Arabidopsis thaliana: one gene and its partners. The protein of the gene in region 4 purifies or fractionates together with the protein of the main gene of each other region. This does not show direct contact. Each region holds a gene or a part of one and is shown on either strand. Other genes may lie near its edges.

Region 1 (5,551 bases), on a different chromosome or scaffold from region 4:
GAAATCATGGCTTCCCTCGTATTGAGCTAACAGATCATCTTCTTTGTCATCATCCATACTATTAATAAGTGCAGATAGCTCATCATCTGATCCATCAGCTCCACCCAAAAGTTCCTGCTCTTCCAGTTCCCTTTCCAAAATTTTAGCCTTTTTCAGTTCATCTTTAGCTTCCGCAAGCTTCCCTTCACGTTTCAGCGTAAGGGCTTTTCTCTTAAGGGCAATTACCTGACTCTTGTCAATACCCCCAGTCTTCTGAGGATTAGCACTTCGCGGAATTTCACGGAGAAGAGACGAAAATTCGCCCTCCAAACTTATAGTTGCTGGTTTCTTATCTTCATCGTCAGACCACCCAAGCTCCCTCAGGTCAGCTGCCAAATCATCATTTCCTTTACCCCCTTGACGTAGAGGCTTTTGTGATTTGCTAGATTCTTTGGTAGCAGCCTTGTTCTGCGTCTCAGCAACATTTCGCATAGACAGTTCCCTTTTCCGGTTCCTTCTTAAAGATATCTCTAATGCGTCGGCCTCTCTCTCAAGTTCCCTCCCTCTCTTAAATGCTTTTAGAGCTTCATCAGATTTCCCTTCTCCTTTAAGAATTCTGTACTTATTCTTCGCTTCTACTGCTTGTTTACGCAATTCTTCAGGACTAGCATCCAACTCCATACCTTTATTACTACTGCTACTTGCCATTTCTTTAGAAGCATTCCTGTCTGTGCTAGACACAGATTCAGATGAAGAAGATACATCAACATCAGAGCCTAGAATCTCACTGAGAACATCATCCTCATTCTTTACAGTCCTTTTCGAGCTACCTCCTGAACAAATTCACAATCTCTTTACATCAAAAACTAGCAGATAACACAAAAGTGTCATAAATAAGATCACTATAGGTACATAAATACCTTTAGCAGCTCTATTTTTGTAACCATGACGCAACTCAAACCGTGCAGCTTCTTCAATTTTCTTACATGGTTCACATATACGCACAGGTGAGTCACCTTGTCCACGTAGTGACAACCTTTGCTGAGTGCAGGTTCCACAGAACAATCCCCCACATCTCCGGCAATGATGCTGCTCGCTCAAAAAAACAAAGCCAACAGAAACTAAGAAAAATTAAGCAAATTCAAAGGTTTTTGGGAGACATAGAAGAATCCAGCAAGTCACAAGTCTAGTAATACACAAACCACAAAACATCCAGATTCACCAAATTTACTCAAAAATATGGAATCTATCAAATAGGCACATCACCAGAAACCGATCATTCAGTGAAGTTTTCCGATAAACAGATTCTGAATTAGATCTCGAAGAAGAATCGACTAAGACGAAACTAAATTTCGATCGAAGAAACTAAGAATCTAAAGATCGCGATAGCAATAAGCAAGTACCAATTGATAGAGAGAGTAAGGAAATTAAGAGAGAGGAAGACCTTGCGATTGATGAAAGTGAATTGAGAAGAACATCCTTGACAATGAGAAGCATCAACGACCCAACTATTTCCTCTTAGAGATGGCTTCGGCGGTAATCCGATCTTCTCCAACATTTTCCCGTCTGATTCTTCTTCTCCTCCGCCGCGAAACGAACTTGGTTTTGATTTTGATCTTACCGGAAATGTAAAAGATCGAGCAGATGAAGAAGAAGAAGAAGAAGAATACTTTTCCTCCTCTATTGTCAGATATAAAATAAATAATTTTAACTAATACGGTATCGTTTTAGCTAAAACACATAATAGGACTCAATATATAAAGCAATAATAATTAGACATGAAACTAATTTTTGCTTTGAGACGAGAACGAAGTTAGAAAGAGACAAGCCCTAAAGATCGCTTTGAGACGATAAACTCTTAAAGTTTCGATTCGTTCACGATGATCGTCCCTGTTCGTTGTTTTACTTGTGGAAAGGTTTGTTTTTTCTTCTCTCTTTTTGTACGATTTCGATTTGTTATATATATATGTGTGTGACAAATCTCTAGGGTTTGTAGTATTGAGATTTATGAAGCTTTTGTTTATGATTTTTTGTAGGTGATTGGGAACAAATGGGACACATACCTTGAACTTCTCCAGGCTGATTACGCTGAAGGGTAAGCGATATATAGTTTATGATTAGAAAAAGAATCATAATTTGTGAGAAATTTTTTTGGTGAACATGAGAGTGATTGAATCTTGGAATTTTGAACGTTTTCTGACATTTTCTTAGTTGAAATGAGAGTCATGTAAAAGATGAAACAATAGTGGAACATGACAATAGAATGATTTGATGGTTTTGTGTAGTCAAAGAGATTGCATGATCTTGTCTTGTATGATCATCTTGAAAGTTTATACATGTTTTAGCCTTGTTACTAAAAGCATGAAGTTAGATCATTGGGATTTTTCGATTTTCTTGTTTTAATCGCTAGTGTAATCTTTAGCCCGTTTGGTTCTAGGTGTTAAGCTACATGATTTGGAATTGCGCAATTTCGTTTTTGTTTTAGTTGCAATTTGATCATCTTGAAGTTCATAGATGTTATCTTAAGTGTTAGTAAAGAGCATGATGGTAGGTGATCACTGATATATTCCATTCTCTTGTTTCTATCTAATCTTTTAGCTACTTTGGTTTTAGGCATTATGCTAAAATTGCATTTTGTTGAACTGAAAATCTGAATTTTGGTTTTGGAATACGCAGGGATGCTCTTGACGCGCTTGGATTAGTCCGTTACTGCTGCAGGCGTATGCTTATGACTCATGTCGATCTAATCGAAAAGCTTCTAAACTACAACAGTAATATCTCCATACCCGGTTCTTTTGCCTTGTGTTGCCTCTGCTCTATTCTTTTTGTTAACTTGCTTATTCGAATACTTCTCTTTTGCAGCTATGGAGAAATCCGACCCCAATTAAAAAAAGATGCTATAATGAATAACAAATCATCAAGAGCTGAAGTGAAGGAGTGATGCATCTCATCCATGTGGGCGTCTTAATAAAACCACAATGTTTCAGAAATTTTGGTTTAATTTATAACTAGGAATGTTGATATTTCAATGTTTTCTGATGTTCTTGTTCGGTTTTAGAAATCTAGACAATTTTTCGAGCCAAAAATAAAGCTCAAGCCTGTAGAGTCATCATCTATTGATTTGTTTTTGGTAATCTAATCCTGATAAATAGTAAAGATCACACATTTGATAAGGTTCAAATCTACAATCTAGATCACGAGTAGGAAGCAGCTCTTTTTGTACGATATCAAATTGGTAATGAGAACAGAGCACATAAAAACAATTTGAATGGAGCTCCCATTTTATAACCGGAGAATATCAAAGTTTTTTAGTTACAAGTGGTTGTATTAATTCAAGGAAACCATTTAACAAAAGAAATATAAATATTTATATTAAATATACACTATAATTAGTTGAATATATATTTATTTTGGATCAAATGTTTATTAAGATATATTTTTATTATAAAAATTTATTCTGAAATATGTTTATTGAACAATATACTGAACTTAACAAACCAAGGAGACTTTTTTTATTTTATTTTTTTTCAAACACAAACCAAGGAGACAAATATGAAGAAAACAAATTACATTTGAATAGAGAGGTAGAGCTATATAACTCACTGAATGCTTGGAAATATTGTCTATTAGTCTATTACAGATTAAGATTTTCTAAAAGAATTTGAGCCCGCTGAACCCAGAATTTGAGAGTTTGGCTTAGACTCAAATTCGAGTTTTTACCTAGTACGCATTCAATATGGAAAATGGTGCAGCACTCAACGCACCAATAGAACACTTTTGTGTTTGTGTCTCTTAAATTACGTTCACATACTTCGCACCAATCTTTTTCACGGACCTCTTCTTCCCATATAGCTGTGAGAAAGTGTTTGTCATGTTCATACCTTGCTCTATAGGGTAATGTAGCACACTTCATACAAACAATAAAATCACATTTGATGCAATTTAATTGATTATGACGTTCTGTTTTGCATACGCGACATATGAGTTTTCCGTCTCGGCCTACAAATATGAACAATGGATGTTTATGACCTTGGAAACAAAACGGCTCAGCAATTGAAGCACATTTTACATCTAGAGTGAAGATACATCCCCTTATGCAACACTCATAGACAAAGCCACGACAACCACGATTACAAGAACTGCATCCAAAACGATCCATACCATATCTACTTGCAGCTTTTAATGTTAGTGGATGAGGATGTAATGCATGTTGTAATATCCTGCAAAATTTTGCACATGTTTCATGGAAGATGAAATCATCACACTCCACACAAGAATAGAAATTACCTTCGAAAATAGGTAAATAACACGCTTGACAAAGTTTTTTTTCGTTATAAAGTATACTGACTTCGAGCCGGAAATGATGGTCATGGAGAAAATGAAGTATCACTTCCTTAGATATTATATTGAATGATCCAACATCTTGTGTAATATCATCTTTGTCTGGTAAACCTTCGAGATCTTTTCCATCCCACACATTTTTCTCTAGAGCACATCTCGAATGAACAGCATAATGACCACACTTATCACAAGTATATGCACCATAATCACCGTCAATAATTTGATGAAAAACTCCACAAGACCATTCACATGATCGTAGAGAAAAAGTGTAGGAGATACGATGGTTGTGACGTGATATCTTGATGACGCTTGGAGAGTACATACAATCACTATGAAACACAAAGTTGCATCTGACACATATGTAGGTGGGATATAGTTTTCTCACCAAACCACAAAAGTTGCAAGTTAAAGAAGTTTGTCTAGGAAAAAAAGTGAGAGGATGGTCGGCATGCCTTTTTGGTGGGTCTATAACAAAGGGTATTGGCTTCACTGCACATACTGGATGCATGAAAACGTTACATATGGTACAATAATATACCAGGAAGTTTACTCTTCTTCTACAGCATAAACAATTAATACTGTAAAGAAGGAAGTGAAAGTAAAGTTGGAGCGAATGCTGAGGGTGATAAGGGTGTTTGATTTTAAGTGGAGACTCGACGCATTCTTTGTGATACTTTTTCGTGCAAATGTCACAAAAATAATAGTCAGTGCCAAAATTTGAGTGACGGCATATATTGCATCCACCATCAATATCGAATTCTTTATTGTTGCACCAAAACAACGGGAGTACTGAATGATATGTAGCACTTCTTGTAGAGAAGACGAACTCGGGGGAAGAATTGAGCGGGAAAATATTCCCAGTTCTATCTTTAAATTTTCGTGCACTTGGGCATAAAAAAAGAGGTTGAAGAAGATGGTCATCGCTGACTGCTTCACCGGATGGAGATAGGCTATGTGTTTTTGGTTTGGGATGATACTTGGGATGATGATATTCCAGAAATAGGTTACCATCCTTTTCCTCCTCATGAAATCCACCGAAATCCATGGCTTCTCCTAGTCTTTGTTTACTATACTTCTGTTAAGATCTTTTTTTTTTATATAAATGCAAAATACTAGTTTTGAGAGTTTTCCACTATACATAAGAAAATCTGATACCAAAGGTCTCCTTCTACGTTTAATTATTGGATCCTTAACCGTGAAAATGAGTTGAATTATGTTCTTTTCTTTGTAT
Region 2 (7,784 bases), about 11 Mb from region 4:
GACACCCAAAATTTCGAAAAATTCGAAGAGGTAAAAACTAAAAGTGTTCGGATCAGAAAAACCGTTTGAAATGATAAGGCAACGGTCCAATGATGCGTATGCAGCTGTTGATATAGAAACTAATATAAATTCTTCTGTAACAGACTGATAAGCAAGTTCCGAAGACGCCAAAATCAGGTCCATGGAGAAAGGTACAAAATATTCTTGCTTTCATGTCTTTCTATGAAATGAAAACTTAGCTTGAAGTCATGCATATGAACTAATACTATGTGTTGTCATTAGCATTCTTAACATAAGAGTGTCTTTGTGTTTTGTTTTCTCTCCAGATGCTCTCATCCAAAGACATAAACTTTGTGGGTTATACTTACAAGAACGTTGAAATCGTAAACCATGATCAATTACCAGGGATAGGTAGATCTCACTTACACAACAAATTTGACTTGTAAGTAAACATATTCCATGTTTGCTCTGTTGTAATTTGTGATTGTGTTTACTGTTGCAGCTGAGCTGAAGAAGAAGAGCACAAAGCCAAAGCGGCCATCAATTAAATCCCTCTTTGGTACTTATCTAAAAGACATTTATCACAATCTATTTCAACTCATTGTCTGATATTAGCATATGGTTTTAGCACTAACAAGAATTGTTATAAAAACATTTGGCAGAGGATGAATCAGCCAGTAGCACCACAAGCCACCAAGGAAGCTTTATGAAACTCTTGCCAACACAAATCGAAGTTCCAGAGAAAGAAGACAAATCAAGCTCATCTAGTGAAACCCTATCATCTTCCACCACACGTTTCGACAATGCCACATCCTAAACCAGACTCTTTGCTACACTTTGGTCCCGGTTAACACACCAAAACACGGTTTGAGGTGGCGGATTTACGGTTGGAGATAGTACAGTTTCCATTGTGGCGGTGAAGGCTATTGTGTGAGAAGATTAAGGATTTGTTCAACAGTTTCTACATAGGATAATATTTGGTTGTTCAAAAGGTTTAGTTTGAAGCAAAAGGAAGTAAATAGTCATTTTCAGAATGTGGTTTTATTTATTTGTTTGATTGTTTTGTTTGGGTAAAAATCAAATTTGGTTTGTTTACCACACAGTTCTAAAGCGGACAATGGGAAAAATGTCAAAAAAATCATGAACTTTCAAATTTGGGACGAAAAAAACATGAACTTCCAAAATGCCATTAAAATCGTAAACTTTTGTTTGACTTTTGATAAATAGTCAAGTTTTGTTGACTTTGCCATTTTGAACATGTCGTTAAGTTTTCGTTAACAAAAAGATAACGTGATTAATTTTCTGTTAATTTTTTCTGTTAAAAGCGAAACGACGTCGTTTTGAAATTAAAGAAAAAAACAAAAAACAAACACCAAGTAGAGTTGAACTGGTGACCTTTTAGGTGCTATTGAAGGACTAAAACCATTGAGCCACGTTAACTTTTTAGAAGTATAGTAAACATATACATATATATATATATATACGTAACTAATTAAAAATAACCAACTAAAATAAATCAATAATATAGAAAATTACCTAAAATTTACACAATCCTTCTCATATGAATATAGGATTAATCTATACATGCACATAGAATTTCATTCAACTTCACTTTATATATAATTTTATTTATAATAAAACATATATTTTATAAATTAATTTGATAAATATTTAATAAAAGAAAAATATAAGATCATTATTCCGTCTTCAAATCAATTTTTTTATTCATAATTAGATGGAAAGTATATAAAAAGTTATTTTTTGGTAATATATTTATAGGTGTTATATTTCACAAGTTTGATTTTTATATAATTTAAGAGAATTTTTTTTTAATTCAATACGTTTAATAAAAAAATTTACATTGTTATTTGAGAATATATATTAATGGTAGGTGTATTTAATATTTTTACATGTTTAGTTATTGTTTTTATAGTTCGGTTTTTATTTGGTAGGTGCATTTTTATAATTTACATCATTTTTAATATTTTTATTTGCCATTTTGGTTAATATGGAGGATTTGGAAGAGCCGGAATGATTTAGTCTTCAACAAAAAAGCAATCGCTGTCGCTGATGTGATAAACCAAGCGATAATGGACACGAAAGAATGGCTGGATGTTAAGCATAAAAATGATGACAACGTCAAAGGGGGCCAAACCAAGTCCTCAAGAACGGACAAATGGCAAAAACCAGGAGCAGAATGGGTCAAATGCAATTATGATGTCTCTAACCATGCGGGAAGACAAGACTCAGGCCTCAGATGGATTATTCGAAACTCACAAGGAACCTGTTTGGACTGCGGCTGCGGGAAATTTCAGGGTCGACAAACAATAAAGGAAGCTGAATGCACTGCCCTCATATGGGCAATACAATGCGCTTGGGATTTGGGATATAGGAGAGTAGAATTTGAAGGCGACAACATCACAGTTAATCGCCTTATTCGAAACAAAGAAACTAATCCACGACTTCGATACTATTTGGAATTCATTCAACAATGGAGCAAAGCTTTCACCACTGTGAAGTTCACATTTCGACACCGGGAACAAAACGTTTGTGTTGATGTTCTGGCGAAAAAAGCAGTAGCTAATCATATAAATCATACTCTATATCATTTTTGTCCTAGATTTCTAATGTCGTTTGTAAACAAAGATGCTGAACACGTGAATTAATAAAGTTATTGGAAGGAAAAAAAAAAAAAATAGTTCGGTTTTTAATTAGTTTTGCGTATATATATATATATCAGTTTTCATTAATATCGAAATGTTATCATAGCATATTGGTTGAGCGCTTGTGATAATTTAGGAGGTTCACGAGTTCAATCCATTCTTGGCGCAAATTTTAATATATTTTTATTTTGAAACGACGTCGTTTCGCTTCTAACGGAAAATGTTAACGAAAAGTTAACTCCGTTATTTTGTTGTTAACGGAAATTTAACGACATGCCCAAAATAGTAAAGTCAACGAAACTTAATCATTTTATCAAAAGTCAGACGAAATTTTATAATTTTAGCGGCATTTCGGAAGTTCACGTTTTTTTTATCCCAAATTTAAAAGTTAATGATTTGGTTTGATTGAAATGTCCGGTTCTGGTTTGGTTTTCTTTTGTACCGGTTCTCATAATAATAGCCACGTATTAAAAATTTATTAGTAATGGATTTGGGCCAGACCCATTCTCAAAGCCCAATCAATTTCTCAGTGAAACATATATAAACCTAATTAAAGTGAAGCAGAAGTTGTATTCTTCTTCTTGCGAACTCGCTGAAGTCTGAAAGATGCAGGTTTGTCTCTCTCGATTCGAAACCCTAGTTACTTTTTTTTGTTCTTATCTCTAATTTTATACAATTTCTTGACGATTAAGCTAAGCGTAGCTGAAATCTGGGAACAATTTGCTTTAGTTCTTGTAAAGGTTAGGTTTTTAAGCAGCAGATAGTTATGTAATCTCACTTTTTTGTTTTTGTGCAGGCAAGTGATAGGTTTAACATAAATTCTCAGCTTGAGCATCTTCAAGCTAAGTATGTTGGTACAGGTCATGCAGATTTGAGCAGATTGTAAGTATTTTTCACTTTTTGTTTGGATTTTTCAGGATTCCAAAATTGTGAACTTATTGAAAATTTTGAATGTTTTTGTGTTAGTGAATGGACTGTGAACATTCAGCGTGATAGTTATGCTTCATACATTGGTCACTACCCGATGCTTTCTTACTTTGCAATAGCTGAGAACGAATCTATTGGTCGAGAACGTTACAACTTCATGCAGGTTTGTTTACTATCTTTCTTCTTGCATCATGTCAAGGAATCATATTGAGAATGTTAATGTGTTAGTGTCTTAAGGGAGAGGAACAATTAGGGTTGTTTCAAACAGGGTAAAGTGTTCCTGCTGCTCCCCTCTTTAGCTTGGAGAAGCCAGTAAATATCTTTCTCTTCAAGGAACTTGTGGGCCTCAAGAAAACCTGCTATAATTCTAGTTTTTCAACATTCCTCCTTCTGATATCAGCAACAACTCCTTACCCTTAAGAATGGAGAATGGAACTTCCTCAAAGATATTTACTTGGCCTCTGCAACCGGAAAGGGGAGCAGCATGAAACTCTTTTAACCCTTACCCTGTATTTGTCAAAAACAGATTGTATCATATCGTAAGTTAGCAGGAAACTACCAATCTTGAGGGTTGTTTCAAACTGTTATCTTCTGGTTCTTCTACACTCAAGAGTCAATGACTTTGCATTTTTGCTAATAGCTTTTACTAACTCCAAACTTCTTTGATTTTTTTTTTGCAGAAAATGCTCTTACCTTGCGGCCTTCCTCCAGAAAGAGAAGACGAGTAAGAGCTTGTGTGCATTTGAAATTAAAAAAAACATTCTACTTCTTAGAAGCTTGTGTGCAATCTTCTTTAACTGCTCCACCAATGTAATTGCCGAAAAGGCTTCTTCTTGTTTCTAGTTCATAATGCAGTTGTTGATCATGATCTAAACATTTGTACTTTGTTATAGTCTTGATACAATTGTCAAACTCAAAGTCTTTTTGCTACTCGAACAACTATTGCAAAAGAATTGAATTGAACAAGTCATAAAAAAAAGAGGTTAAAAGTTGGAGTATTTAAATGAATGACGAAAATAAAAATCAAACCTTTATGTTTGCTAATGGTGAATCTCTGAGAAGGAGACAAAGATGAGTTCATCAAAAGCCCTAATCAAAACCCTGATTAAGAATCCAACTCGAATCAAATCCAAATCTCAAGCGAAGCAGCTTCACGCACAATTCATCAGAACTCAATCACTCTCTCATACATCAGCTTCAATCGTAATCTCAATCTACACAAACCTTAAACTTTTGCACGAAGCTTTGCTTCTTTTCAAAACCCTTAAGTCTCCTCCTGTTCTAGCATGGAAGTCAGTAATCAGATGCTTCACCGACCAGTCTCTATTCTCCAAGGCGTTAGCTTCGTTTGTGGAAATGCGAGCTTCTGGGAGATGCCCAGATCACAATGTGTTTCCTTCTGTTTTGAAATCGTGTACGATGATGATGGATTTGAGATTTGGTGAGTCTGTTCATGGGTTTATTGTTAGGCTTGGTATGGATTGTGATTTGTATACTGGTAATGCGCTTATGAATATGTATGCTAAGCTTCTTGGTATGGGTTCTAAGATTAGTGTAGGTAATGTGTTCGATGAAATGCCTCAAAGAACGTCCAATTCTGGAGACGAAGATGTAAAGGCTGAAACTTGCATTATGCCTTTTGGAATAGACAGTGTGAGGAGGGTTTTTGAAGTGATGCCTAGAAAGGATGTTGTGTCGTATAATACTATCATTGCAGGGTATGCACAGAGTGGAATGTATGAAGATGCTTTGAGAATGGTTAGGGAGATGGGAACTACTGACTTAAAGCCTGATTCTTTTACTTTGTCTAGTGTGCTTCCGATATTTTCTGAGTATGTGGATGTTATTAAGGGGAAAGAGATTCATGGGTATGTGATTAGGAAAGGGATTGATAGTGATGTATATATTGGGAGTAGTTTGGTTGATATGTATGCGAAAAGTGCTCGGATTGAAGACTCTGAAAGAGTGTTTTCTCGCTTGTATTGTCGGGATGGTATCTCGTGGAACTCGCTTGTAGCTGGGTATGTACAGAATGGTAGATACAATGAGGCTCTGAGATTGTTCAGGCAAATGGTGACCGCAAAGGTTAAGCCAGGGGCTGTGGCGTTCTCAAGTGTGATTCCTGCTTGTGCTCACCTAGCCACCTTGCACCTTGGGAAACAACTTCACGGATATGTATTAAGGGGTGGCTTTGGCAGTAACATATTCATAGCTAGTGCACTTGTTGATATGTACTCGAAATGTGGGAATATTAAGGCTGCTAGGAAGATTTTTGACAGGATGAATGTACTCGATGAAGTATCATGGACGGCTATTATAATGGGGCATGCGTTACATGGTCATGGGCATGAAGCAGTTTCGTTGTTTGAGGAGATGAAACGACAAGGAGTGAAACCGAATCAAGTGGCATTTGTTGCTGTACTAACGGCTTGTAGTCATGTGGGGTTGGTAGATGAGGCATGGGGATATTTCAACAGCATGACTAAGGTTTACGGTTTAAACCAGGAGTTAGAACATTATGCAGCTGTAGCGGATCTTCTAGGCCGTGCAGGGAAGCTGGAAGAAGCATACAATTTCATTTCAAAGATGTGTGTTGAACCAACTGGTAGTGTCTGGTCTACCTTATTGTCTTCTTGCAGCGTTCACAAGAATCTTGAGTTGGCTGAGAAGGTAGCGGAGAAGATATTCACTGTCGATTCTGAAAACATGGGAGCTTATGTTTTGATGTGCAATATGTATGCGTCTAATGGAAGATGGAAAGAAATGGCGAAACTAAGATTGCGTATGAGGAAGAAAGGATTGCGGAAAAAGCCAGCTTGTAGTTGGATCGAAATGAAAAACAAGACTCATGGATTTGTTTCAGGAGATAGATCGCATCCGAGTATGGACAAGATCAACGAGTTTCTTAAAGCTGTAATGGAACAGATGGAGAAAGAAGGGTATGTTGCAGACACAAGCGGCGTGCTTCACGATGTAGACGAAGAGCATAAGAGAGAGCTTTTGTTCGGACACAGTGAGAGATTGGCTGTTGCCTTTGGTATCATCAACACAGAACCTGGCACGACAATTAGAGTCACTAAGAATATAAGGATATGCACGGATTGTCATGTCGCAATCAAGTTTATCTCGAAGATCACGGAAAGAGAGATTATCGTTAGGGATAATAGCAGATTCCACCATTTCAACCGTGGAAACTGTTCTTGTGGAGATTATTGGTAATAATGAAGTGTGAAACTTTTTTGACTTCATCTTTTGTTCAGAGACAGAAACGACGTCGCATAGGGAACATATGTTTCATTACACTTATTGTAGTGTTCAACCAATTTATATATTTTTCTATCTCTATAATTTTCTTATAATTAGGAAAAATTAGAACAAATCATGTGGAAATAGACCTAACAATAAAGTATTGTTTTAAAAGTAAAGTGGAATTTGCATGAGTTTTTTTTTGTATTTATTAAACAAACAATATATGGAATGTTTGGACATAAATATATATGATCTGTTGTGTATACAACAACAACAGACAGAAGCTGACCCATGCATACAAAATTTTCACATTATTATTCATTGCCCATAATAAATCATGGCCATTGGATCCCTTTTTGGCACTATGAACATTCATTTTCTATGTAGTGGAAAATCGACTAGTCGTTATACTATTATAAAATATGTTCACTATATATAAAAACCAACAGAATGGATTTGATTGTAAGTCAGTTTTTTTTTTTAATACCACTAAATTATTGCTATTTTTTTTTATTGCAATGTCAATTGGTGATATAGTTCATATTTTTACCGTAGTGGTAAAAAACCCCGAAATTTAGTGTATACATAAAATAGGTATTATATTTCTTGGATCGTTTATATTTGGACTGTTTTTTTTGTCTTACGATTTCTCGATCAATTGTTTGTCCATGATCCTTTTTTCACTATTCTTGCCAATATTGTTTGCTTTGCTTTTCCTATACTTAACATTTCCAAAGGTGCAACTTGCCATAAATTTAGTCTGCGAAGAAAAGCAAAGGATTAGTTGTGCTAATCATCAAACTCTCTGTTTTAAACATTGTTGGCATTTGAGAAGTCGGTAACACAAAGCTTACTTTGCTTTTAGTTTTCTTTGTCTTGTCTTTTCCTTGAATTTGGTTGTGCTTGGTTCTACGTCGATGGTCATGATTTAGCAATTTTCTAAAG
Region 3 (8,515 bases), on a different chromosome or scaffold from region 4:
CTGTCCTGGCTATTGAGTCCATTCATAAGCACAACTACATTCACAGGTCAGTGAAGCAGAATATATGATTTAGTTCTAGCTCCCATTGTTATTTTGTTCTAAACGTCTTTTTTTCTCCAATGTGATACAGAGATATCAAGCCTGATAATCTGCTACTTGACAAAGACGGCCACATGAAATTGTCAGATTTTGGATTATGTAAACCATTAGACTGTAGTAATCTTCAAGAGAAAGACTTTACAGTTGCAAGAAACGTTAGTGGGGCTTTACAAAGTGATGGTCGCCCTGTGGCGACAAGACGCACCCAACAAGAGCAATTACTAAACTGGCAGAGAAATAGAAGGATGCTTGTAAGTTTCACTTATTCCTCATCTTTTCTTCCAGAGATGTGGAGTAGTCCACAGTATCCAGTATATTTCGTTATTGAAAGCAAATTCTCTCCATTGATATAGACATCTATGTTAGATATGACTTACTAGGTTAAGGTCATTACTTTCAGGCTTATTCCACAGTTGGCACTCCTGACTATATTGCCCCAGAAGTTCTGTTGAAAAAAGGATATGGAATGGAATGTGATTGGTAGGTGAAGCCAACCTATTCCTATTTGTGGTCTTTGATTTCTTTGGTGTAAATAAATAATATGGGTGAATAATCTTGAGATTTAGGTGGTCTCTTGGCGCCATTATGTATGAAATGCTTGTGGGGTTTCCGCCCTTTTATTCAGATGACCCAATGACAACTTGTAGGAAGGTAATTAATCCATTCCTTTTTGAATCTTTCATTTTAATATTGAAGGCAGACTGGCGATTTCAAGTCTTACATTTAATTTTAGTCTTTTTGTATCTCTTTGGTAATTCTAATGTGGAAACTTACCTCTTCTCGATTCATTATCTTCCCCCTTATGCAGATAGTAAATTGGAGAAATTACTTGAAATTCCCAGATGAGGTTAGACTATCACCAGAAGCCAAGGATCTTATTTGTAGGCTTTTATGCAATGTTGAACAAAGGCTTGGAACAAAAGGAGCAGATGAAATTAAGGTGTTGTATGCGTTGTTCAACTTTGAGATTCAAAGTTCCCTTATGTAAGATCATTGTGTGCAATTCTTAAAAACGATTTGACTGGTTTCTTTCAGGGTCACCCTTGGTTTAGAGGCACAGAATGGGGAAAATTGTATCAAATGAAAGCTGCCTTTATTCCCCAAGTTAATGATGAGTTGGACACCCAAAATTTTGAGAAATTTGAAGAGGTAACACACTGATACTATCAGCTAATGATGTCTATAGTGAAATATTGGTGCAATATATGCCACCAAATGATGTGGCATGATGTATATACTGAAATATTGGTATCACAGATGATTTTTATGCTCCTGATAAGGAAAATAATGTATACTCTTCTTTGATTCCTTCTGGAACAGACTGACAAGCAAGTTCCAAAGTCAGCCAAGTCAGGTCCATGGAGAAAGGTACAGCATAAGCACTGACTTTTTGGCATTATGTACCATCAAGCTTTTTTTTTTTATCTAATAGAAGAGTGATCATACTTCAAAATTTATCTATAAGTGGGTTCCTTGAGATATGTTGTTCTTTGATGATACTACAGACGTAGCTTAAAATATTACATGCAACAAAGAGCTCAGAATGATGAAATTGGCTCAGTTTCTGTCACAGGCGTTTCTATCTTTGTACTATATTCACAAAAACGTGATTCACTCTTTTAGGTTCAAATTTTCTTATGGTAATTTAGAATTTGGAGCTGATTGGGATGCTACTAACAGAATTATGTTGTTAATCTGCCAGTTCTGCATGTTGACGTGTGTTAGATGAATCACTTATCTTTTTGGACCAACATGATATAACTTAGAACCTGTTCTGTCAATAGAATTTATGTCATGAACCAAAAGGATTCTTGTGAATTTCATAACATGACGCTGGCTTTCTTTTTTTCTTCTCCAGATGCTCTCATCCAAAGACATTAACTTTGTTGGTTATACTTACAAGAACGTAGAAATCGTAAATGATGACCAAATACCAGGGATAGGTAATTCACTTAACCCCCCTTCCGTTGCTGAGGAAGAAGCAACAATACTAGATTACCTTGTGATTATCATCGCATGTTTGCTGCATTTGTAATTTGTTTTATTGTGCAGCTGAGTTGAAGAAGAAGAGCAATAAGCCAAAAAGGCCGTCTATTAAATCTCTCTTTGGTAAATCATCTGTTTGTATGCTATTTGTAAAATCAAGATGATTACGATCCATGTTTGATTCTCTCTAACCAAACTGTGGAAACTAAATTAACAGAAGACGAAACATCTGGTGGGACAACAACCCACCAAGGAAGCTTTTTGAATCTACTACCGACGCAGATTGAAGATCCAGAGAAAGAAGGTAGTAAGTCGAGCTCATCCGGGTGAATTTCATTTGACACATTGCACAGCCTGAACCAGAAGACTCTTGTTATATTAACATGTGTGTTGTTGATTTCGTTGAAAGCCTTTTGCTTTCTCTAAACGACTGTTAAAAGTTGGAGTTAGCAGGGGTTTTTCAACAAAGTACAGTCTCTCCAGTGGAAGCGAAGGCTCTCCCAGAGGAGAAAGATGGATTTGTTTAATTGTTTTCAACATAGAAAAGTGAAAAAGTAAATATTCTTTTCGGAATTGGCTTGTTTATTTATTTTCACAGGGAGAGAAGGTGAGCTTTGGTATTTGATTTTTTTTTTTTTGGTTAATCAAAACTTGGTTGTACTACTAAACCTCAAGATGAAATCTTCACCCTCTAATGCTATAAGCAAAAGTATTTACTATTTATTAGATTAGAAAAAGCGCCAATCTGAAAAACTGTTCTCACTGAATGTGTTTAATTGAGTACACTCAAGAGTGAAACAGATGGCTTAATGGCACCTCAGATTTGGTGCTAAAAGTCTACAGTCTACACTATATGTAGGCCTTTGGAACCAATTGCGTGTGAAGACTGAAGACTAAAAAGTGCATACAAAAGAAGTAGAGAACAAATGTACCTCTATGAGTATTCGTAGGCCCTTAAGAGACCTTCTTCAAATGTCAAAATAGTATAAAAAAGAAAAAAGACTAAGTGTGGCTGCTGGGATTCGAGCCCAGGTCCCCACGGCCACAACGTGGGATTCTAACCACTAAACTACAGCCACTTTTGTTTGTATTCTGTAGATTGATAATGATTAAAGAATCCACAATTGTTAGCCAAATTCCAAGCTTCTTGCCTTAACTTCTTTATTATGTGAAACGACCACGTTTTCATTTTATGATCTACTACTTCGGGTACACCGAACGAACCGGTCGGTTATTTCGGATTTAAATATTAACCGAAAACAATTAGCAGATAAAGGACTTGAAGAAAGATAGGGTTTAGATCTTCTTCTTCTTCTTCTTCTTCTTCTTCTTCTTCTTCTTCTTCTTCTAGTTGCTGCGAAACTCTGAAAAAGATGCAGGTATGTTCTCGATCCGAAACCCTAGCTTTTGTTGGTAAATTGGAAGAAGAAATAACCTAATTAGCTTCTTCTACCTTTGATTCTCTGTCTGTTTAATTTATCTATGTCGAAGAGAATTGGCTTAGACGAAATTAGGTCGATTTGTTTCTTATAAAGCATATATAGATGAAATCGGGAACAATTTGCTTTAAATTTAACATCTTTTGGTTTGGGTTTTTTTCTTTTGCAGGCAAGTGATAGGTTTAACATCAATTCTCAGCTTGAGCATCTTCAAGCTAAATATGTTGGAACCGGTCATGCTGATTTGAGTAGATTGTGAGTTTCTTTTGATTTTAGTGTTCAAATTTTTATATGCATTGTTTTTATTGGCTACTAATTTGTGGAATTGGTTTAAATGGTACAGTGAGTGGGCTGTGAACATTCAGCGTGATAGTTATGCTTCATACATTGGTCACTACCCTATGCTTTCATACTTTGCTATTGCTGAGAACGAGTCTATTGGACGAGAACGCTACAATTTCATGCAGGTTTGCCTCCTTTCATGTCTTTTGCATATTACTTTCTCTAGTGACAAATCTACAGTTCAAGATTTGGATTATGATTCTATGTTTATTTGATTAGGTGCGTATCATATGGTTATGTAACTTATGTTGCCTTCCAGATTTATTGCTTTGTTGTATGGTTTTTAGTTTACTGTTAAATGTCGTATTTGTCTATTCGTCGTGATATTTTGATTTCTTAGACCATGGACTTCAGTTTTGACTGACTATTTCAGCAGCCTCTAGTTCTGTAGGATACAATTATATTAGAGAGCGTTGGGTCATGGTCTTACTCAACTCGGTTGGTTTCGGTTTATTCGCCTCTTGCATGGTTGAAATGTGTGATAGGTTAGAATTTCATGTAGGTTTGCTTCCTATTCTCTGTGTTAATAGGAATCTTATCAGTAAAATTCTGTACTTTCCTTTTGCCTCATCCTTTATCTAGTGACAAATCTACAGTTCAAGGTTTGGATTATGATTCTATGTGTAGTCGATTAGGAATGTATCATTTCGTGGTTATCTTGTGGTATATCTCATTCCTTTTCCTTTTCAGATTCATTGATTTGTTGTATGGTTTTAGTTTAGGTCTTGTCAATGGCGTATTTCTCTATTTGTCGTGATATGTTGATTTCCTAGACTATGGACTTCACATTTCACTGACCATTCAGCAGCCTCCAGTTGTGTAGGTTACAATTAGATTATAGAGCATTAGGTTATGGTGTGGTCTCTCACTCAAATGTTTTCATTTGTCCTCAATTCTCAAATTAATGGAAGCTTAGTTCCTTTCACAAACAGTTGTGAGCTCGCCTTGGCTTTCAGTTTTTTCATGAAACAGGTCTCTTACATGGTTGAATAATCTTGTGATAGCGATCTCTTATATCTGAATATATGGTCTTCTTGAGGGTTAATCGAAAAGCATAGAAAAATATGAATATTTGTGGGGTGTTCTTTGCTCAAAAAATTGGTTACACTTTGTAGATGTGATGATGTTTTGGAATAACTTGAGATGTCTTTTGATTTCCAGAAAATGCTATTACCCTGCGGCCTTCCTCCGGAAAGAGAAGAGGAATAGGTGACATGAGGATTCGATTTGTCTTTCAAGTTATCAAGAACTCGTGTGATGGAATGTTGGTTTGGAGTTTTAAAAACTGTCCAATTTGATCTTCTGGTAGAGATTTATATGACTGTTAAAAAACAACTTTGTCTGTGTAAGTTTGCTTTTCTTGAATGTAAAAAACAAAACACCTTGGATTTTTAGGTTGGTTTTACACGGTTTCGTGTTTTAATCAAATTCATCAAAATTTTCAATTTTTGAACTATCCAAAAACCCGAATAATCCGACATAACCGTTATTGCATGCCTAGTTTGATTTGTTAAAAGTTCCCGACATAAATTCTTACCGTGGGATGTCCAAACGACAAGAAAACAACGGGTGTGACAAATGGACAAATAAAAGCAAAAAGCTTAGGCCACTTAAACCAAAAGCCATTTCATCAAACGTATTCTAAAATCTAAACTATAAATAATGTAATATCGTCAACGATGGAAGCCTATAAACACTATAGTTGATATAATCATACGCATCTATTATAAGCTTGCTTACTTATGGATAATTTTTCTTATTCTCTTTGACTTATTTTTGCCTAGTTTCATTGACCATCATAATACTTTAACAATACCGAAAGTTTCATAAACATTATAAAACTTTAGTCATTGTATACAATCCGAAAGTTTCATAAACATTATAAAACTTTAGTCATTGTATACAATTATCAATAAGTTTTGTTTCCCATGCATGTGAAATATCACTTGACTCAAGATGAATGGTCCTAACACGTTTACCTTTAGAGACACATGTTAATTTTCATATTGAAAATGAAAGTAAAAACAAAATGCTTAATATAGCATAGAAGAACATTAGCTATCCTACTAAATTACCATATAGAAGAAACTCATGAATTTCACACTGTGTTCATGAGTTCATCGAGAAGATCTACTAACGACATGTAAACTGGTTATTAAGTATGAGCTTGATTTCTCAAGACTCATCAACAAGTGTTCCATGTATCGACGTTACCAAGCGTTCGGGAGATCCACAAGTAAATGGATGCTTTCTTTTTTAAATTGTTTGAACTTTTATAAAATCAGGTCCTTTACATGCACTTCCAGAATCTGTCCAAGCGAGAGATCATAAGATAGAACAAAGTGATAATATGATAATATTGCGCTAGTACACGATTTGTTGACAGTTTAAATCCAAAAATGTTCATCAACATATTGGTACGATTAGTAAATGAGTAAAAAAAAACTTAAATAAATCAATGTAAATTGGGTGATGTATGTAGACTTAGGTATTGCACTAACTTGATTTTATTGATTCACAAAGTATAGTATTTATACAAGAGAGACATCTTATGAGATATACTCTAATCCCTAAAATATAGGACATAACTCTATCACAAGATATATAGTGATAATCTTAATGAGATTATACTCTATCCCCAATAATGTATCAAAATATATAAACGTAAAATGAAAATTTCAGCTTGAAAAATGACAAATGTAGAACTTTTTTTTTTGGTGGTAGATTCTGTTTTTAATAAAAATATATTATAAAGTTTTGCAAACTTGTTTCGTGTTGTTGTTGATTAAGTGATGTTTATGGTTATTACGAATTAGAGTTTTGGTCGTTAGAAAACAGAGAATTTAAATGTTAAACCGTGCACGAAAACAACTAATTTTTTCTTCTAAGTAATTAAAAAAAAAACAGTATACAAAAATAAAATAAAAAGATTCAATGAATGATAAATATTTACGTTGAAGTTTTGTCTTTCTTTAGGTTAAATTCAATTTTCACATATTCATTTCTTTATTATTCCCTTCTTCTTCTTTCTCTTTCTCTTTTCTTCCGCAAATCTCCGCAAAATCTTCCCTCAAACTCAGATCCGATTCTTCTAATTCTTTGTCCCCCCAGAGATTCTTCTTCTTTCTCCAAGTAAAAGAAAACAACTTTCTTTCTCTTTTCTTGCGAAAGTCCTCAACTTTCACCACTAAATCAGCTTCCTTCAATCACTGTGTTTGCTTTGGACCCAGTTTCTGATTTAGCGACTAGGGTTTTGATTGGAACCGTATTAAGTATATGAGAATCGGGTTTTACTGGTGAATCGGATTATCATCGGAATTCGGAAAAAGATGGATCGGAATCAAAAGATGGATCACGTTATCGGCGGGAAGTTTAAGTTGGGTAGGAAGCTTGGAAGTGGATCATTCGGTGAACTTTATTTAGGTATCAAATCAATCTATTCACATCTTGAGAGTGTTTACTAGTTCTTGCATTGGGTTTGTTTAGTTGTTGTTGAAGTGTAATCTATGTGTGTATGATTTAGGGATCAATATTCAAACTGGAGAAGAAGTCGCAGTTAAGCTGGTAATACTACGAATTTGTTTAAGTTATTTCATTCAAATTTTATAGATTTTGTGCTGAGGAAGGTTTCAATTTTGGATAATGAATCAATGTTATTTGCAGCTTGTTTTAAGTGAGACTAGTTTTGATTGGGAATAGAAGTGTAATTTGCAGCTTGTTCTCTTCTTATTCCTGATGGTTGCTGCTCTGTTATGGAAAGAAATGGTGTTAATTATGCAAGCTCCATTTCTGTCTTTGTGGTCTAATAATGGTTCTTTTTTTGACACTAGGAACCTGTGAAGACGAGGCATCCTCAACTGCAGTATGAATCGAAAATATATATGTTTCTTCAAGGAGGAAGTGAGTTTGGTTTGTCTTTCTCTGCTAGTTTATATGAAGTTTTAGTTCCAAGCCTCTGATACCTTGATATATTTTCTTTCTGTTAAATAGCGGGTGTTCCCCATCTGAAATGGTTTGGAGTTGAGGGTGAATACAGTTGCATGGTTATCGATCTTCTTGGGCCAAGCTTGGAGGACTTATTCAATTACTGCAAGCGAATATTTTCATTAAAATCTGTTTTAATGCTTGCAGATCAATTGGTAAGTACTGAGTAATGAGTATGCCCTTTCTTTAAGATGTTAGGTTGGTCGTTGAGAGTATGTTGTATCAATGCAGATATGTAGAGTTGAGTATATGCATTCGCGGGGTTTTCTTCACCGCGATATTAAACCAGACAACTTTTTGATGGGTCTTGGGCGCAGAGCAAACCAGGTAATCTACCGATTCAGCATGAGTTGGTGTATGTTTTGAAGATGTCTTTAGAATAAATCTGTGTGTGATTCTTAGCATAGGAGTAGTACTGAAGCCTTCTGGTTTACTGAATTAATTTCTAACCTCAGGTGTATATCATTGATTATGGCCTTGCTAAAAAATACAAGGATCTTCAGACACAAAAGCATATACCATACAGGTGAGATATGCAAACTCTTACCTACATTTTCAGTCATCCATGTTTTAGGAACCTGTTGTAGATATATGTTTAGTTGATCTTCCGTGCCTATCTTATTCATGAAACTTGAATTTTATGCTGCACCAGTGTTTTCTTATAG
Region 4 (7,927 bases):
TGCCATTTTCGTCGTCCGAACTCTCCTCCATTATCTCATGAAGCCTCTAGGCCAACCTTACCTCACCACCGACTTTGCTGTATGTCAAATATCTTTTTGTTCTTTGTCTATCTCTTTTGATTTCTATATTAACTCAAATTTTCTATGCATCAGATAGGGCTAATTCTAGGTAATATTCCAAGGTTTCGAGGGGCATTCTCGGGGCCTTACTCTATAACCCTCAACAACATAATAGAATTTGGAATGATCTGCCATATGTTTGTCATGGGTCTAGAGATGAATCCAAGCGTTCTTCTCAGACCACCAACCAAAGATGCATTCATTGCCTACACAAGCATGATCACGACCTTTGTTCTCGCCTTTGTCACAACTCCTTTCCTCCACTATACCAAAACTTCTCCTTACATTTTCTCCCTCGCCCTCTCCCTCATGGCCTCAAGCACCGGTTCTCCTATCCTAACCCGCGTCATCGCCAATCTCAAAATCAGAAAATCCGATCTTGGAAAACTTGCATCAGCCGCAGGTGTCCATACGGACATGATCTCTACCTTGCTTTACTGCTTCGGCTTCATTTTCTTCCCTACGGAGAAACCTCTCGCTCGTCCTCTCCACAGATTCTTCAGAGCCCTCCTCATGTTTTGCCTCTTCCTCGCTCAGGTCACTTTCACTTCCATTGTATCCCCAATCTTTCTTAATTGGGTCAACAACGAGAACCCTGAAGGTAAACCACTCAAGGGGTCACACCTTGTTATGTCCCTGGCATTTGTCGTCTTGATCTGCAGTTTCCCAACTTGGCCACCTGAATCAATGTACAACCCAATTCTCAGTGCATTCACGGCTGGTCTCTTCCTTCCAAACAAAGGAAGAATGTCGAAATGGATCATCAACAAAATCAATTACTTGCTCAGCACGGTCTTCTACCCTATCTTCTTCTTCTGGGTTGGATTCATAATCCACATGAGAAACTTTGACATTACTGACAAAATGGCGTGGGTAAGATTCTTTTCTCTTCTTGGCACTGTTATAGCCGGAAAAGTCACCGGAACAGTCTTGTGTGGTTTACTACTCGGTTATCATGTCCCGGAAACCGCATCCTTAGGACTGCTTTTGACCACTAAAGGCCATTTTCATGTCTACTTGGCAGCTTTAGCCATTCGGGTACCATCAAGCTTTCTCTTTATGTTTTGTTATTTAAGCTATCATCAAAGTAAGATCTTTACTCTCTTTCTTTTTCGTTTGATGCAAATGCAGACTAACAGGGTGAAAAGTACGACCGGTGCATTGATCATATTTATCATTGTCTTCACGGTGGTCTACTCCCCATTCGTGGTCATGGACATCATCAAACGCGCTAGAAAGCGGGTGCCTGTGCACATCATGGCGCTTCAATGGCTCGATCCAACAACTGAACTTCGGATCTTGATTGGTCTCCACGGTCCCCACAACATTGGTTCTACGCTCAACGTTATGGAGATCTGCCATGGTGGCCGTGAGCCGGGTTCCATATTCTATGCGACTGACATGGTGGAGTTGACTGATGAGATTGCAGCCACGCTGAAGAAGGGCGGAGGAGCCGGTCAGAGTAATGATTCAGTGACGGTAACGGATAGGTCGGTGACGGAAATGAGAGAGAGTATAACGGCAGCTGTGAATGGGTACGGAGAGCTCCGCAATGGACAAGGTGTGACAGTGCGGCGGATGCTGGCGTTGTCCACGTTTGTGACCATGGCCCATGACGTCTGCGGTTTGGCTGATGAACTTATGGTTTCCATTATAATTCTACCGTTCCATAAACGGCTGAATCCTGATGGTACTCTCGATGCTGGTCATGCTGGGTTCCGTCATGTGAACCGCAAGGTAATTGTTCCATCTCAGTAATACTCTGTTTCTTTCAGTTCTCAGAGAGATAATTTGGCATTTGTGTGTGCAGATTCTGAAGAACGCACCATGTTCAGTAGGAATTCTTGTGGATAGGTCGTTCGGGCAAACAGAAGAGGCATGGAGACCAGGAGCGTCCATGGGCATTGCTATAATATTCATAGGTGGCAGAGACGACCGAGAGGCACTAGCCTTCGCTGCACAAGTGGCTCGACATCCTGCTGTGAAATTAAAGGTTATACGTTTCTTGGAAGACAAGAGCTCTCAAAACGCACAAAAACGAAGCAGCATCCTGAACAGAGCGAGTGTGGTAGATCAAGAGGAGGAAATGAAGCTTGATGATGAATGTTTTGCTGAGTTCTACGAAAGATACATAGCTGGAGGTGGAAGAGTGTCTTACATGGAGAAGCATCTCACCAACTCCTCTGAGACTTTCACAGCTCTTAAATCACTAGATGGAGAGTATGGGCTGGTGATTGTAGGAAGAGGAGGGGGAAGAGCGAGCAGTGGGTTAACCACCGGCCTCAACGACTGGCAGCAATGTCCAGAGCTTGGTCCCATAGGTGACGTTCTTTCAGGATCAGATTTCTCACACAACACATCAATGTTAATTATTCAGCAGCAGCGTACTCGGGGTCAGCTAGAAGGGCTTCATGATGACTTCACTATACTGTGAATATCTGTACAAATGCACTTTACTTAGTAGCTTGGGAAGAGTAGTAGCTTCACCATCACAACTCTTAAAGAGACTTTGTACAATAGTTCAAACATTAAGCGGTTTATGTAGATAGAATGGTAAAAAGAAGAGGTAATCTAAGCATTACTTCATAGCATCCTGAAATGGTGTTGAAACATAGAGTTAAAAGAAGTTACAGGCCGATTTGTTTTTGATTTATACAAAGCATAACTAGGGAAAATTTCCCAAGCTCATTATTAGTCTTGATTGGTGCTTAGCAAAAGACAATGTAAAACGTTTTCCCCGATGTGCTGATGGAGAACTCCAAGTTCCTTAAAACTGATTCGAAAACTTGGCCACCTCTGCCTGAAAACACAGAAGGGTATACCATAAGACCAGGTACATCAAACAACATCAATAGCATTTGATATTCGTCTAGCTTATTAACCACATAATCAGATAAGTATATCCGAAGAGAGAAACTTATGTACCTCAAACTGGTTCTTCAAGTAGTCGAGCTCCTTGTCCAAGTCATTGATGGCCTGGTTGTATGCTTGCATTGGGGAAGACTGGCTTGTTGTGTGAATCTACATACAGAAACCACTTTCACAATTAAACAACAACATACAAGATCTTTCTATAAGTCCTTAAGCAACCAGTAATCCCAGAGGAAACTGTTAACACTAGAAGCTTAAACCAAGAAATATTCACGGTTTCCAAACAACCATACACTACTTTTAAGTTCCTAAACCAATCTTTTGGATCCTAAGGTCAATCAATGAACTGAAAAAAACGCAGAGGATAGCATTGTTCTTTCCAATTCAAAGCAACAGGCTCTACAGTAGAAGCAACTGAAAAACTTGGAACTTACCCTCACTATGATTTTGTACTTAAGAGGATGAGGAAGTTGGTATCCAGCAAACAAGACATTCTCGTCGCGATGAAGTTGCCTAAAACAAAAATTTCAGAACAGAGCTGACAAAAATTAGGGCTTTCTTCTTTCTGAGAAAAGAGTTGCAAAATCAACAAAAAGACGTACATGCGGACAATGTTTCCAATCGTATGGTCTTCTCTCTCAACCGTGAAGGAAGCAGCATTGATGATCTTCGTATCCCTATCATAAGAAACCCTAGAACATAGAAATCGAGAGGGTTTAGCACATGTAAGAGGACTATCGAGTATGATTTCGAGTGATAGAAACTTCAATTACTTCTTGGTGCCTTCAGGGACGACGAATCGCTCATATCGTTCGGGAGCATTCATGGCTTAATCGGAGATTTCAAGCTTCGCTCTCTTTTTCGCCGCAGAGAGACAGTCAAGAGTTCTTCAGTTTCTTTCTGGCAAACAAAATATAATACGACGTCGTTTTTCATAAAAGAAAAAAGATCGAATCTCCACGTGTTATATTATTATTGGTGTATACAGTTTGGGTCGGATCGGGCCGATAAAACATAATATTTCCGTTTAAGGACCTCTAGGTTTATATTATTTACACAATAAAGGACGAGTGATTTAATTCAGAAACCTAACAAAAAATTCAGGAAAAAAAGAAAAGAAGTCAGATCCCTAAAAATCGAACCCGAAAGCGTAAAACTTGAAAACCGACTATGGCCTTTCACGTAGCTTGTCCAATTACATGGTATGTTTTTTTTTCTTTCTTTTGGCGCCTCCTTTACTCGTTGGCTTGTTTGTTTTTACTAATCGAATTGTTCTAATTTGGGGGTTTTCTTCTTTCTTTCGTTCTTTCTCCGCAGCCGGAAAATTTGCTTCTGCGTTTTGGGGTTTTCTCGGAATCTTCATGGTAATGAAGTCAAGGATGTGTATCTCAAAGAGATCCATTCTCTTCAGGAGTTCGTGCGAAACCCCTGGGATGCTGAGGTTTCCAAGGACGGTACCGTTCAGATCCATGTGCCTAAGCTTGCTGTTTTCGATACTGGTCCTCGCATTGCGGCTAGAAATGTTGGTGTTGGGAGTGATTCGGCGATGGAGGTTGTTGCTGCATCATCGAATTTGGTACCAGCTAAACGCACCTTGGTGTTGCAGAAGAAGGCTGTGGAAGTTTATGCTGCGAATGATTGTTCTGGCGACTTAGAGGTTCGAATTCTTACTTGCGAAACTTGTTTTTGTGGTTAGGGGTTACTGCTATGTCAATTGAATTGAACTTGTTTATAGGAATCTGTCTTTGTGAGAAAACGTGTTTTCAGTGATGTTGATTATCTGTATCTCGTGTATGTGTTTTGGTGTTGTCCTGTCTTTTCGGGTTCTGTAATCTATGATTTATATGTAAACTACTTGTGATTTTTTGGATGATTATGAAGTCTATTCTCGTCAAGACACTAATTCAATGTTATGTCTTTCTCTATGTAGGTTTCAGTCAAAGACCTCAATGAAGAAGATCATGATCATCACAGTGCAAGCATAACATGTCACATGTGCTATTTGGTTGAAGTTGGGAAGAGTGAGAGAGCCAAGATGCTTTCTTGCAAATGTTGTGGGAAGAAGTATCATAGAAACTGCGTGAAGTCTTGGGCCCAACATAGAGGTATTGTTTCATAGGAATCTATTGTTTATGACTTATGAGTCTTTCTGCCTAGATTCTTATACCGGTTTTTGCTAGCAGATCTTTTTAATTGGAGCTCTTGGGCGTGCCCATCTTGCCGAATCTGTGAGGTATGTTCGGACACAACTTTGTGCTCAATGATTATTCTTGCTCTTTACATGCTGGGCTAGGTATGACTGCTGCTTGATTATTTGTATTCTTTTGATCATTTTTCCTTTAGGGCTGCGGGACTTTAGGGGATCCAAAAAAGTTTATGTTCTGCAAAAGATGTGATGATGCATATCATTGTGATTGCCAACATCCTCGGCACAAGGTATAGTATTTATTGCGTCTGTATAAGGTTCTTATCTTATCTTTTGCAAATTGGTTTATTTTAATCTCTGAATATTACAGAATGTTAGTTCTGGACCCTATTTGTGTCCTAAGCACACCAAATGTTACAGTTGTGAGTCTACAGTCCCTGGGAATGGCCAGAGCTTACGGTATTTAACTTTTTGCCTTGTGATACTTGAAATTTATTCATGTAAAGTGCACTATCTCTTATTATTCCTTCTAAACTTTGCAGGTGGTTTTTGGGGCATACTTGTTGTGATGCTTGTGGAAGGTTGTTTGTTAAGGGGAATTATTGTCCTGTATGTTTGAAGGTATATTTACATATTCTCCTCCTCGGTGATAGGAAAACGTGCGCTCTGTTTCCAAGCATCATATTTAGATATTCTTGGCCATAATTAATAGAGTTATGTATTTTGGAGTTGTTACCCTATACTATCCAGACATCTGTATTGCAAAAGCAGTTATTTGCAGAATTTTCTTACATTCTTTGAATTGACAAATTATTTTGATTTCATCACGTAGGTTTACAGGGACTCGGAAGCAACGCCAATGGTGTGTTGTGACTTTTGCCAGCGCTGGGTTCATTGCCAGTGTGATGGAATTAGGTACATATCGTTAATGAAATTGTACTTCTGTGTCCTGTAAGCATGTCTCCCAAGTGTGTATCCAAATACTTTAAAATAACGCTAACTTTGTAAGCTACCATCGCAGCGATGAGAAATATATGCAGTTTCAAGTGGATGGGAATCTTCAATACAAATGTTCTACTTGTCGTGGGGAATCCTACCAGGTGTGTTTCATGGGTCCTTAAGTCTTTTTTGCTATCTCATATTTGTCCCAGGTTCTAGTTGATTGCTGTGAATGACAATTTGGTTATCCCATTTTCTCTTTTCTGATTTGTGTTTATGATGCCAGGTCAAGGATCTTGAAGATGCTGTACAAGAAATTTGGAAGCGAAAAGATATGGCTGATAAAGATCTAATTGCTAGCTTGAAAGCTAGTGCTCGGGTTGTTGGGCAAACTGGTGGTGCCCCTCTTATGAATCAGCCTGGCTCTGTGGAAAGAAAAGTTTCTGAAAAGGCTATGGTCAATGGTGAAGAAGAGAAGCCATTGAGAGTTCTCAGGATAAAAAGTAGCAGGCCTCAAGATTCAGATAGTGAGAAATTTGGAAAACACGCTACAGAGCTGAGCACTGTGAAGGCGAAAAAGTTGGTGATAAGTATAGGTCCTCGAAAGACAGGGGTTACAAACTCTACGAGCTGCGATGTATCAAAGACTGCCTCCAAATCAAATGGTATGTGTAGTGTCATTTTTGCATGTTCAGTAAACTTATATGAGAAAGATACACTCTGATTATTTTCGGTTTGTTCTTTCTTTAAAATTGGTATACATAGACATACTTATAAAGAGCTTTGGTAATTACAGGAAAGCAAGAAAAATTGCAAGCAGAGGAAACGTTTTCCCGGGAAGAGCGTCGCAGCTTGCTGGGAAAGAATAGTGACGAAAAGAGAGGGTCTCGAGGTGAAGTAACTACTTTAAAGGCTGAGGGCGGATTCATAGGGAGACACTCAGATGGTAAAGGAGATTTAAATAGTGGCTCGCATGATTCATCGCAGAAAGATTCAAGGCGATTGTTGAAATTGAAAATAAAAAAACATAATCCCGAGGGCCAAGAAAGTGAAGCCCCTAGCATTGTATATGAAAGAAGTAAATCTGGTAAAGGACATAGGTCAAAGAGGAAAAGAGCATCACCTCCAGCTGAGAAGTCAGCGTTCAATGAAGATGAAGATGTATCGCTGTCACGAGAAGACAGTTTGTTAGACGAAATGCTTGACGCTAGTTGGATTCTGAAGAAGTTGGGGAAAGATGCGAAAGGAAAAAAAGTTCAAATACACGAGGCCTCGGATGATTCATGGTATATGAGATTATATTGTTTTTTGCTATTGAACTTCTTTAATTATTCCAAGTCTCTAACAAATGAGGAACCAAAAAAACAGGGAGAAAGGAGTTGTAAGTGAAGTAGGAGGAGCTGGAGGCACCTCGAAGTTGATGGTGACGCTAGAGAATGGAAAAGTGAAGACGGTCGAGCTCGGGAAGCAAGGGGTTCGATTTGTTCCTCAGAAACAAAAGAGAACGAGAACGTGAGGCTATCTATTCTTGAGTATCCACATTTAGAAACAACATGAGCTTCTTCTTCTTCTTTATCTTCTATACATCTAGAATATGTATGTAGCTTGATTAGCTTCACGAGAAGAGGTACCTGCTTAGGGAAACAAGAGGTTTAAATTGTAAAAGATTTGAGAAGAATGAATTCAAACAAGCATTTGATGACTCAAGACTTGTAAAGTCAACCCAACAACAACACATGATGTAATTGCCACGCGTCAACAGACATAACGTAGGACCCTTCTGCGGATAAGAATTACCAAAAAATTTTACACAAAAAAACATTATTTGGATGAGAAATGAATACGGAACTA

What was found.
Region 1: the proteins of NRPB11 (region 4) and AT1G61700 fractionate together in Arabidopsis thaliana (co-fractionation; one large-scale study listed by BioGRID). This does not show direct contact.
Region 2: the proteins of NRPB11 (region 4) and AT3G23325 fractionate together in Arabidopsis thaliana (co-fractionation; one large-scale study listed by BioGRID). This does not show direct contact.
Region 3: the proteins of NRPB11 (region 4) and AT4G14342 fractionate together in Arabidopsis thaliana (co-fractionation; one large-scale study listed by BioGRID). This does not show direct contact.

Annotation. Positions count from the first base shown.
Region 1 is NC_003070.9:22,785,246-22,790,796, forward strand, and holds AT1G61700 (RNA polymerases N / 8 kDa subunit), read left to right. Parts: upstream 1-1,766; 5' UTR 1,767-1,859; coding exon 1,860-1,895; intron 1,896-2,015; coding exon 2,016-2,074; intron 2,075-2,655; coding exon 2,656-2,750; intron 2,751-2,841; coding exon 2,842-2,867; 3' UTR 2,868-3,135; downstream 3,136-5,551. Other genes in the region: AT1G61690 (phosphoinositide binding protein), read right to left, coding at 1-812, 900-1,068, 1,424-1,537; AT1G61710 (Cysteine/Histidine-rich C1 domain family protein), read right to left, coding at 3,614-3,978, 4,267-4,649, 4,871-5,331.
Region 2 is NC_003074.8:8,342,539-8,350,322, forward strand, and holds AT3G23325 (Splicing factor 3B subunit 5/RDS3 complex subunit 10), read left to right. Parts: upstream 1-3,231; 5' UTR 3,232-3,269; coding exon 3,270-3,275; intron 3,276-3,459; coding exon 3,460-3,545; intron 3,546-3,629; coding exon 3,630-3,753; intron 3,754-3,828; exon of another isoform or gene 3,829-4,118; intron 4,119-4,270; coding exon 4,271-4,318; 3' UTR 4,319-4,604; downstream 4,605-7,784. Other genes in the region: AT3G23310 (AGC (cAMP-dependent, cGMP-dependent and protein kinase C) kinase family protein), read left to right, coding at 1-30, 144-191, 327-411, 503-559, 663-817; AT3G23320 (Polynucleotidyl transferase, ribonuclease H-like superfamily protein), read left to right, coding at 2,091-2,666; AT3G23330 (Tetratricopeptide repeat (TPR)-like superfamily protein), read left to right, coding at 4,662-6,809.
Region 3 is NC_003075.7:8,250,349-8,258,863, reverse strand, and holds AT4G14342 (Splicing factor 3B subunit 5/RDS3 complex subunit 10), read left to right. Parts: upstream 1-3,259; 5' UTR 3,260-3,458; coding exon 3,459-3,464; intron 3,465-3,693; coding exon 3,694-3,779; intron 3,780-3,867; coding exon 3,868-4,081; 3' UTR 4,082-4,364; intron 4,365-5,027; coding exon of another isoform or gene 5,028-5,075; 3' UTR 5,076-5,328; downstream 5,329-8,515. Other genes in the region: AT4G14350 (AGC (cAMP-dependent, cGMP-dependent and protein kinase C) kinase family protein), read left to right, coding at 1-46, 131-350, 500-579, 666-750, 908-1,039, 1,135-1,248, 1,420-1,467, 1,958-2,042 and 2 more; CKI1 (casein kinase I), read left to right, coding at 7,196-7,289, 7,390-7,430, 7,697-7,766, 7,857-8,005, 8,082-8,177, 8,306-8,376.
Region 4 is NC_003074.8:19,315,182-19,323,108, forward strand, and holds NRPB11 (DNA-directed RNA polymerase, RBP11-like protein), read right to left. Parts: upstream 3,943-7,927; 5' UTR 3,818-3,942; coding exon 3,765-3,817; intron 3,684-3,764; coding exon 3,594-3,683; intron 3,505-3,593; coding exon 3,426-3,504; intron 3,320-3,425; coding exon 3,230-3,319; intron 3,142-3,229; coding exon 3,046-3,141; intron 2,921-3,045; coding exon 2,888-2,920; 3' UTR 2,668-2,887; downstream 1-2,667. Other genes in the region: chx28 (cation/hydrogen exchanger 28), read left to right, coding at 1-79, 154-1,158, 1,252-1,857, 1,931-2,554; AT3G52100 (RING/FYVE/PHD-type zinc finger family protein), read left to right, coding at 4,162-4,193, 4,309-4,648, 4,727-4,780, 4,922-5,096, 5,175-5,224, 5,335-5,427, 5,508-5,596, 5,680-5,758 and 5 more.